2 linked regions of the Arabidopsis thaliana genome follow. The protein of the gene in region 1 interacts with the protein of each later gene in a pairwise test. Each region holds a gene or a part of one and is shown on either strand. Other genes may lie near its edges. The genes, in order: DI19 and ZTL.

Region 1 (4,810 bases):
TGATTATAGTAAAAGATTACGTACATGAAAATATAATGTAATTTATAAATAATAAACTATTAGGTAGTTTATTGGTACTATGTGCGGGTTGAAATAATTACTAAGTCTCTAAATATATTGTAGTTTTAGTTACAAAATTTATTGTATTATTATCCAAAATATGAAATCTGTATGTATTATGGAACATGTAATCTACTTTTTTTTGTTATTCGAATCAATGAATTTTCATATTGGAATTCTCTTAATCCGTAAAATGATTGAGAACAATGTGAAAATAGAGGTACAAACATAAATAAAGATTTGTGAGTCAAATTTAAAGAAACTTAATTAAAAGTAACAACTTACAAAATAATAAGAATGTCTTAAGCTTAAAATTTGATTAATTAATTTATACTCTAAATTCATAATATAACAAATTATAAAATTACCATTCAATTTCTAAATAAAAACTTTAAAAAAATATATAAAGAAAATTCCAATCTTCATCTGAAACTAAATATCTAAATGAAAAAAATAACATATCCAAAATTTCACAATCTGAATCTAGAAATTTCAATTTAAATTTCTAATTCTAAAAATTGAGAACGGCTCCTAAATATACTAATCTAAATAGAAATCTAACAATGAAATTTAAAATCATTGAGAGAATTGATATTGAGTGAGAGATATCAAGAGAGTTTAAATGAGAGAAACATATCTTTATAGAGATGTGAATGAAGAGAGAAGTGAGATTGAGTGGTAGAGATCAAGAGCGTTTAAGTGAACGACGAGCGAGAATTGAGTAGAGAAAAACACACACACACCAAAAGTAACAATATTGTTGAATTATTCTTAAACAGATGACTTCGTACGTGGTTTCTCAACCACTCTTTTATCACTCTTTTACTAGCTTACAAGAGTGAACATTTTTCATTTCATAAGACACACAACACAAGAACACCAATAGGGTTTATGCTACAGACAAGAGGACTTATTCTTCTTCCTATATCTTACTTTTCAATTGCTTAATAAACTTAAGAAAACACATTTCTACGCAATGTATTTAGTAGCACCAAACAGACACAATACATAGATAGATATAGATATTGATAACATAGCTGCATCTCGCTCTTCTCCGTCTTCTTCTCATCCCAACCATTGTTTTTCTCGAAACCTACACACAGTTGAATCAAGATTCCGATGAAAATGTGTCTGTGTAGGTTCTTTTACACAACTAACAGAGCTTCATATATACCAGATTCTCTCAAGTCTGATTCGAATTAGTTCCTCCATGTTCTCAATCTTTGTATGTGCATTAGACTTCATCGAAAATGGCTGATGACAAGAGCCTCTGAACAAACTCTGATTTGTGCCTCCTCTCTTCCCGATCTTTTAACGAGACCGGTGAGATGAACACTTGTCTCTTGCTGAACAAGTTCAATGCTAATCAAAAACTAAACCTTCAAAAAACTCTATAATCTAATAAAGAAAGCTAATATAGAATCTATACCGCTCTATCTGTTTATCCTCGGATACGTTTTTGGTTTGGCGTGGCGCAGGAGAACTCTGTGATCGTGTAGGTGAGATAAATGACGACAGGAGAGGATCAGGAGTTACACTTGACGCAACAGAACCATTACGAGAAGTAAATCCTAACAACCTTTGTAGATCTCCTTCTCTTAGTTCTTTCCGAAGAAGTGAAAGTGTCGAATTGGTACCGCTTTTTCGTGACTTTCTCTTTCGCTGCAAGTAAAACTCATTAAGGAATTCAACAGAGGAATGTGATTCCATGGTGAGAAACTAAGAATATCTGTAAGTTATAAACGTAGAAATTGAAAAAAGGATATCTTAAATAAACTCCCATGGTGAAGCGTTTGTGTGCTACGATATCAACTCCCACTTTAAGAGAACAAACAGGGCATACCTGAAAAATCCAATGTACACATTTGCTATATAATTTTTGATTCCAAGTTGATTTGATAGTAAAGACCAGTAGAGAGCAATACCGCGTTCTTCGACTCTAAAGTATGTTCATCATCTATGTGACAGCACAACCCGATGATATCATACGATTCTGCACAGAACGGGCAAGCAAACTCCTCCTGGAAATCATCATCTCCATCTATTTCTTCAAAGCCCATTAACATTTCTACAATTTTCAAACATAAAAGATCATATATATTTGCAAGTATGATACTGGTAAAAGCACAAAATTTCATCTAGCCAAGTAACAACAATATGAAAGAAAAACAAAACTAGACTCCATGAGACAACCTGCTGAATCATGTTAACCTAGATAGGAACATCCAGTTTTTTTGTTGTCTTTATTTCAGAAGCAAATCTATTACAGCTCCTAAACACAACAAGTTTAAGAATTTTTCTTACATAGCTCAAAAACCTATATAGCCAGAAACATAAATATGAGTCAAACTGTTCTTTCACTTACATAACTAACCAAATAATTTCGCATAAAGTCAAGAAAACACGATATTTGAATCAAACTCATGTGATAAAAAAAGTTTGAAACTTTATTCAAATATTCCCTTCTTGAGAGCTCAAAAATCAAAATTACCAAACTTACAAAGCTCAAAATCAAAGTTGACATAAAGGTACTGTAGTTTCTCACCAGATCGGGATCGAAGCGTAGCTAGAAATCTCTTGGAATCAGCGTCCATCTTTGCCCCTACGAAATTGTCGAACTTTTGGAGCAAATAGAAGGACGAATTTGTAATAAATCTCAAGCCGGATCGATCCTGAATAGATGAAGAAGAAGACGATGATTTCTTGGTAGGAGGAGAGAGGAAGAGAAAGTGCGTTGTGAATGAGGACTATTATCGATTTCTCAGAAATGGTGAGACCGGTTCTCGACATTCCAGTTCCCGGTTTGTTGATTTGTTCCGGTTATCAGTCCCGGTTCTTCAATTTTATCTCGTATCATCGATTCTGATGGACCGGTTAACAAATTCCAAATCCCGGTTGGTATTTGTCTGGTATTATCGACTTTCAGAAATGATGGACCGGTTCTCGAATTTCCAAATCCCGGTCGTTTTTCTCTTCCGGTTTATAGTCGCAATTCGTTGTTTTCTTTGGTATTATCGGTTTTGCAGAAATTATGGACCGGTTATTGGATTCATATTCCCGGTTTTGTTGTGTGTTTGTCCGGTTTATAGTCCGGGTTCGTTGCTTTCTCTGAGTTTGTATTTCTTATGTTATTTATTTCTGGAGCCCTAAATTTATCAATCGAACAGAGCAAATCGTTTCCTTCTTCCGAACAGAGTTCATCATCCATCGCCGGAGTAGCTGTCTTCTTCTTCTTCTTTTTCCGGTAAGTTTCCTGAGAATTAGTTCTTTATTCTTCATTAACGAAGATAAAGGAGACATATTTGCTTAAGATTGCTCTCTGTTTCAATTCTCTAGTTTCTTAAATTCTCCAATTTGGTTCCAATCGAAGTACAGTATATTGGTCGTCGTGTTGCATTTCGATTGAAGTTTGTTTATGGGTTTTCTTAAGATCTCTCAATCAGTAGGGTTTAGAATCTATAGGATCAAATTTAGTTTCAAACTTTCAATCTCGTTGCTTTAAGCTTTAATAACATCTACCTAGTGACCTACAAGCTTAGCACTAGTAAAGTATGATCTTACTGATCAGAGGATTGTAATTTGTAAATATTGTGGCTGAGGTTTGCTTAGTCAAATAATGTGCTTGCATCTTGCTTTTGGTATTGCTGATTTTGTTGATCTCTGGATCTTGTTCTGTTTACAGTAGTATCATGGCTATGACATGGTCTAATTTGTTTTCTGTTTTGTGTAGGTTTGAAGTTTGCTTCGCTCTGCCTTTGAAGTCTGTTGATTATTTCTCCAACAGGACCTTGGACAGATATTGTTAATATGTTTTCTGGGATAAAGATCATACCTCGTGATGAGGTAAAGTTTCTAGTTTCATATGATCCTGAATTTTCTTTTGTGTTTATTCATCTTGGATTGAGTTTGATGTTATTTTTCTTTGCTATTAGGTGCATGATGATAGTTGGGAGGGGGAAAGAGAGAAATCTAAAGGTGGGAAGGATAGAAGAAGAAAGAACAAGGACGTAAATAGAAAGGAGCGTAGGGGAGAAGGAAGTAAGAGAGATGGGAAGAAGATTGCCAAGAGTGGAGATGGCGAGACCGTTGATGATGACTTGCTTGAAGGGGATATTGTTAGAAAGAAAATGGGTCTCGATTGGATGCTGCCGCCAACCCGAAAGGCTGATCCAAACCCTGCTTCAGATGTAGAGGATAAATTTGAAGAAAGTGCACCTGAGGTGAGGGAATTTTTATTTGAGAGTATCTTTCTAACAAGTCCGTATTAGATAGTTAAGTTAATGCTTTTTATTTTCTCTGCCAGGTAACTAAAGTTAACCCAAGGGAACTAAATCCTTATTTGAAAGAAAATGGAACCGGTTATCCAGAGGAAGAATCTGAGAAAAAACATGGTAAAGACCAGCTTTTACCTTCTTCGGTTGTTGGAGATGGGGGTGCAAGTTGGAGAATGAAAGCACTCAAGCGTGCGAAAGAACAGGCTGCGAGAGAAGGGCTAAGGCTTGAGGAGGTAAGTTTTGTATTGATTTACGATTAATATAGTCTCGTTGGTCTTTGAGTATTGCCTTATCATTTTGAGGGTTATGCAGGTTGCTGGCGAGCGATATGGTTCTCTTGGTAACCTTGTTGAGTCTGTCGCATCTCAAAGAGCAGCTCCATCTCGTGCCCATTTGAATGCCATAAATAATAGAAGAAGAGGGGAAAATGAAAAGAATGATTCAGAAAAAAAACCAAAAGAAAGAATTTCTGAGAA
Region 2 (5,919 bases), on another chromosome or scaffold:
ACAAGAGGTGCTTGTTGGAAGGTCGTTGGACCAACGCTTATTGTGATATTCATGTTCGTATTCTCTATGTAGGTTTTTCTTTATATCTTCCCAGCATATACGTAGTTATTTAAGTTTCTTAGAAAATTACTATACATTGAATATCTGAAACAATTAATCATGATATTATGGAATTTTTTTTCTTTCAAAATTTGTATAAAGAAAAAGGAATTTTATAGTGGGGGCATTTTAGCATCTCGTCGAAGATATGAATGAATAGAGAATTTTGCAAAGTGTAAAGAAAACAACCGACCAAACCCACTTGTTCTCTCACGTCCTTTTTATGTGTTAAATTGTCATACACAAAAAAAATATTTACAATTATAATTTTTCTAAAGTCTTTAATGTCAAAATTATATGATCTATTTATATCAGTAATACAAATGTAAATCGCTATATTTTATATTTTTGTTAAAAACTAAATACCATAATTTAAAAGAAATATTTTCTTTTTCTTTTTATTTGCGAAGATATTGTTTAGTCGTATGGCATTGTATTAGTTACTTACTTAGTAGTTTTACAGAACGAGGTGAAGAATGTCGGAAAAAAGAAAGAGGTGACGAAGAATTTTGACCAATTTGCTACTTTGTAAGGGAAATATAATACAAAAAAATTGTATTTAGCATCATTACAAACAATTTCTCCATTTTGTTTTAACTTTTACTATCAATTTTATTATTTTTATACGAAACTTATAATTAATAACACGAGGTAAGCCTGTTTTGTTAAATTGAGTATGTCAATTCATTTCATGAGATAATAACCTTCAAATAAAGTTCATAAGATAGTTGCCCCATATCGGTAACTTAGGCTTATAAAACAGTCTTATTATTGGTGATATAAAACAGTACTTAACTACTTATATATAAGTACTTACAACTTATTCTTATTATTGTTGATATAAAACACTAAAGTTGGGTTAAATCTTAATTCCAATTCAGCTGTTTGATGTTGGTTTAAAAGTCTGTTTGCACCTATGATTCTATGATATACCGAACCGATTCGATTAACCAGTAGTTACGAGAAGTTATTTGTTTCAACTAACTATCTATTGATTTGATGTAACTAGTTTGGTCCTCTGCGTATAAAAGGAACATTACAGAAGAGATTAAATGATAGGCAATTGATAATTGAGACGGTTCAAGAAAAGATTTAGCAACCAACAACCTTAACAAATTTTCATTTACGTAACTATAATTATAGATCTTGCTATTTTTCCATTTTATGGCGTCTTCTTATTACGAAACTCATACTATTCAGTCACATAATCTCATTTACTGGACTATAATGGGCTTTATTGTAATGGGCTTTATTGTAAGACATGAGCCCACAAATTTGGAAAGTAATAAGCTTCAGCTCAGCTAAAGAGAGTCTAAAAACCAAAGGGAAAAATGTCATTAAAATCCCCAACTTATTGAAAAAGTTGATTTAAATCCTCAACTTCCAACGAAACGAAATAAATATCAAACTTTTGTTGATTTTCCAAATAAATACCAAATTTTGGTTGACTTTCCAAATAAATATCAAACTTTTGTTCGAGTAGCCATATTAAGTATGACATTAACAGACCCTGTTATTAGAGTCCATTTTTTGTTAACAGACTCGTTAATTGAAAACGACAATATTCCCTATAACAATAAAACAACGTCGTTATGTCATAAATGCTCAATTAAATCCCAATTTCAAATCATATGAAGATTTAGGGTTAGAATTTTGCTTGATTTGGAGATTTAAGATTGGATTTGGGAATTTAATTCGGTCGTTATAATAAAACGAGGTCGCTTTCTTGTTATAGGAAACAATAACGTTTTAAATTAACGGATCTGTTAACAGAAAATTAACTCCGTGAACGCAATATGTTAATCTACTTAATATTATACCTAATATGACCATATATACGAAAGTTTGGTATTTATTTGGAAAGTCAACAAAAATTTGATATTTATTTCGTTTAGTTGGAAGTTGATAATTTAAATCAACTTTTTCAATAAGTTGGAGATTTTAATGACATTTTTCCCAAAAATCAAGGGGAGTTTTATGGTTTTATCTACTTGACCCGACAGAGAAATCCGGACCCGGATAAAATCCGACCCGTTCGAATGAACTCATACGGCCGAGATTTTTCCACCAAACTCGACGGTTACCACTCGTTTCTTTGTCCACCATCTTCTCTCTCTCTCTCTCTCAACCCCCGAAAATCTCCTTTTCCCAAAATTTTCCGATTATCTCACGCCGGATTGTTTTTCAATCGCCGTCTTCATAATCTCCGGCGACTGAAATCAGTCTGGTAACTATTTGAATTTTCATGGAGTGGGACAGTGGTTCCGATCTAAGCGCCGATGATGCTTCGTCACTGGCGGATGATGAAGAGGGAGGTCTTTTTCCCGGAGGTGGACCAATTCCATATCCCGTTGGGAATTTGCTTCACACGGCGCCTTGTGGATTCGTTGTTACTGATGCCGTTGAGCCGGACCAACCTATTATATATGTCAACACCGTCTTCGAAATGGTTACAGGGTATCGTGCTGAGGAAGTTCTCGGAGGAAATTGGTTAGTTGTTTTTTTGTTATCTTTGTGATTAGTGTTCTAATTGATGCGAGGAATTTCTATTTTTGGTTATTGGCTCACTTTACCAAATTTTGGCTACTTGGTGGAGTTTGATTAAGGTCCGTTTAGTTTGAGGATAGGTGAGGAATGTTTGTGATGATGGTAATCTGAAGGACACTCTATTGATCACTAGATTTAGTATGGATGGATACTTTGGTGGAGAGAAAACAAAGATATGTCTATTGTTAGATAATCATTAGAGTCTCTGCCAAATGGCAGAGAAGACTCAGTGGAGTCTCTGTGTGTGCCTAAGTATTCTCTGCCTTCAGATGTTTATTCAGTGATTGTAGTTTTCATATTAATCGAGCTCTCATGGCTGTTTTTGAGCTGTTTCAGCTGCTCCGCATGTTAAGGAAACTTGAAAGTGTATATAGATGCCGAGATAAAGCGAGCTATCCCTGTGTAGTTTCTCGGGGTCGTAGCGAACACAATAAATTCTTTACAATGTTGATGTGCAGTGAACCAGTGAAAAGGCTAAGTCCAATGCGTTTAGTTGTGTGTTAGTTTTCCATGAGAGAAGTGCTAGTAGCTTCCTTTATTAATAAGCTTTGATCTTACAGGAGGAGCTGATCAGTTCAAATAGTTGTTATTCTTGAACAGAATGAAAATCTGGTTAGGTTATAATTATGCTTGTTTGGTGTATTTGTTTTTTTTTTCAGTCTCTACATGCACGGCCAAATATTTTGTCTATTGCTTTTCCGCATCAGTAAGTTGGAGATAAATTTTGTTTTTGGTCTTATATTGTTTCTTAATTAATTTCTCGGATTCTGCAGCCGCTTCTTGCAATGTAGAGGACCGTTTGCTAAAAGAAGGCATCCATTAGTTGACTCTATGGTTGTTTCCGAGATAAGAAAATGTATTGATGAGGGCATTGAATTTCAAGGCGAGTTGTTGAACTTTAGGAAAGATGGATCTCCGTTGATGAATAGATTGCGGTTGACTCCTATTTATGGAGACGATGATACTATTACCCATATAATTGGAATCCAGTTCTTTATCGAGACAGACATTGACCTTGGACCTGTTCTTGGATCTTCAACAAAAGAAAAGTCAATTGATGGGATATACTCAGCTTTAGCTGCTGGGGAGCGGAATGTTTCCCGAGGAATGTGTGGGTTATTCCAGCTGAGTGACGAGGTTGTGTCTATGAAGATATTGTCACGCCTGACACCAAGAGACGTTGCATCTGTTAGCTCTGTGTGCCGCAGGCTATATGTGCTGACAAAGAATGAGGATCTTTGGCGAAGGGTTTGTCAGAATGCATGGGGAAGTGAAACAACACGGGTATTAGAGACTGTTCCTGGTGCTAAAAGACTCGGTTGGGGCCGCTTGGCTAGAGAACTGACCACCCTTGAAGCTGCAGCTTGGAGAAAACTTTCGGTTGGAGGTTCTGTTGAGCCTTCTCGCTGTAATTTTAGTGCTTGTGCTGTCGGGAACAGAGTTGTTCTGTTTGGAGGAGAAGGTGTGAATATGCAGCCTATGAATGATACCTTTGTTTTAGATCTGAATTCTGATTACCCTGAATGGCAACATGTCAAAGTGAGCTCCCCTCCTCCAGGACGCTGGGGCCACACGCTCACTTGTGTAAATGGCTCCAATCTGGTTGTATTTGGTGGCTGTGGTCAGCAAGGTTTGCTGAACGATGTGTTTGTCTTGAATCTCGATGCTAAGCCGCCTACTTGGAGGGAAATTTCGGGTTTGGCTCCGCCTCTACCAAGATCATGGCACAGCTCATGCACCCTTGACGGAACCAAACTGATAGTCTCTGGAGGCTGTGCAGATTCCGGCGTTCTTCTAAGTGACACGTTCCTCCTCGACCTTTCAATAGAGAAACCAGTGTGGAGAGAGATTCCAGCTGCCTGGACTCCGCCTTCCCGGTTAGGCCACACACTATCGGTTTATGGAGGAAGAAAGATCTTGATGTTTGGTGGTCTTGCTAAGAGCGGGCCTTTGAAATTCCGTTCGAGTGATGTCTTCACAATGGATCTAAGCGAAGAGGAGCCTTGTTGGAGGTGTGTGACCGGTAGCGGAATGCCTGGAGCAGGAAACCCAGGAGGAGTAGCACCACCACCAAGGCTAGATCACGTTGCAGTTAACCTCCCTGGAGGCAGAATCTTGATATTTGGCGGCTCAGTGGCAGGGCTTCACTCAGCGTCTCAGCTTTATCTACTTGACCCAACGGAGGACAAACCGACTTGGAGAATACTAAACATTCCAGGAAGACCGCCTCGGTTTGCTTGGGGACATGGCACTTGTGTTGTGGGAGGAACACGAGCGATAGTGCTAGGTGGTCAGACCGGAGAAGAATGGATGCTAAGTGAGCTACACGAATTATCACTAGCGAGCTATCTCACGTAACCAAAGAGAGCCTATGTATGAAAGAGAACCCAGCCATAGAAGAAGATGAAAAAGGGTTCTCGGTTAGGATACTGGAGCTTTAGGGGAGAGCGACTCAGTGGTGGGACTTTGGTACTGCTCATATTTTTTAAGTCCTTCTTCTTCTTTCTTCCTCATTAGGAGGACTTTTAGTGCTTATATAATATATATAGTGAAAATGTCATCTCTCTCTTTCTCTCTGTAGTGCTTGTTTCTGTTGTTCTCTTTGAAGTTTGAGAAGTGCATTTGTGTTCATATTCTGTAAATTTTATTTATGATTACAAACTTTAATAAGATCCTTTCTCTTCTTATGCTATTGGACCACTATTTTCATTTCCAATTTCATACTTTTAGTTCGGAGACAAAATGAGATTATTATTATTTTTCCATTGAGTATGATGAATATAAGAAAATTGGAAAAATAGAGGATAAAACCCCAAATTTTCATTTTAATAGAAAAAATTGGGGAAGAAAATTTACAGTGTTGAAATTGGTTAAACCCTGACACTAGCACCTTCCTCAGTCGCATCACCACCATGTCAGAGCGCGACCGCCGCGAACGAGAGAGGGATAAGGACCGTGAACCAGACCGTGATAGACGCCGAGGTAGAGACGACCGTGACCGTGACCGTGATCGAGACCGGGAAAGAGATAGAGAGCGCGACCGTGACCGAGGGCTTAGAAACAAAAAATCCCGATCTCGTACTCCAGACCACCACGCTCGTGCTCGCCACGTGCGCTCTCCGGAGAGGTATCGCTCTCGTTCCCGCTCGATTGACCGTGACCGGGACCGGGACCGTCAACGACACCACAGGCGCAGGTCTCCTTCTCCAGATGCTCCGTCGCGAAAACGGCCTCGCCAGGGTTCAGTAGACGATGAGAAAGAAAGGAATCGCA

Evidence for each region.
Region 2: the proteins of DI19 (region 1) and ZTL interact in a two-hybrid assay, tested with the Arabidopsis thaliana proteins (one study listed by BioGRID).

What each region holds. Positions count from the first base shown.
Region 1 is NC_003070.9:21,072,072-21,076,881, forward strand, and holds DI19 (drought-induced 19), read right to left. Parts: upstream 2,807-4,810; 5' UTR 2,655-2,806; coding exon of another isoform or gene 2,606-2,654; intron 2,378-2,605; 5' UTR 2,199-2,377; coding exon 1,989-2,198; coding exon of another isoform or gene 1,986-1,988; intron 1,904-1,985; coding exon 1,838-1,903; intron 1,723-1,837; coding exon 1,490-1,722; intron 1,407-1,489; coding exon 1,295-1,406; 3' UTR 1,235-1,294; intron 1,154-1,234; 3' UTR 784-1,153; downstream 1-783. Other genes in the region: AT1G56290 (CwfJ-like family protein), read left to right, coding at 3,868-3,903, 3,993-4,280, 4,364-4,567, 4,647-4,810.
Region 2 is NC_003076.8:23,239,253-23,245,171, forward strand, and holds ZTL (Galactose oxidase/kelch repeat superfamily protein), read left to right. Parts: upstream 1-2,174; 5' UTR 2,175-2,344; coding exon 2,345-2,589; intron 2,590-3,419; coding exon 3,420-4,963; coding exon of another isoform or gene 4,964-5,004; exon of another isoform or gene 5,005-5,071; coding exon 5,072-5,163; 3' UTR 5,164-5,338; downstream 5,339-5,919. Other genes in the region: AT5G57370 (U4/U6.U5 small nuclear ribonucleoprotein), read left to right, coding at 5,559-5,919. UniProt on the Arabidopsis thaliana protein: Component of an E3 ubiquitin ligase complex that plays a central role in blue light-dependent circadian cycles.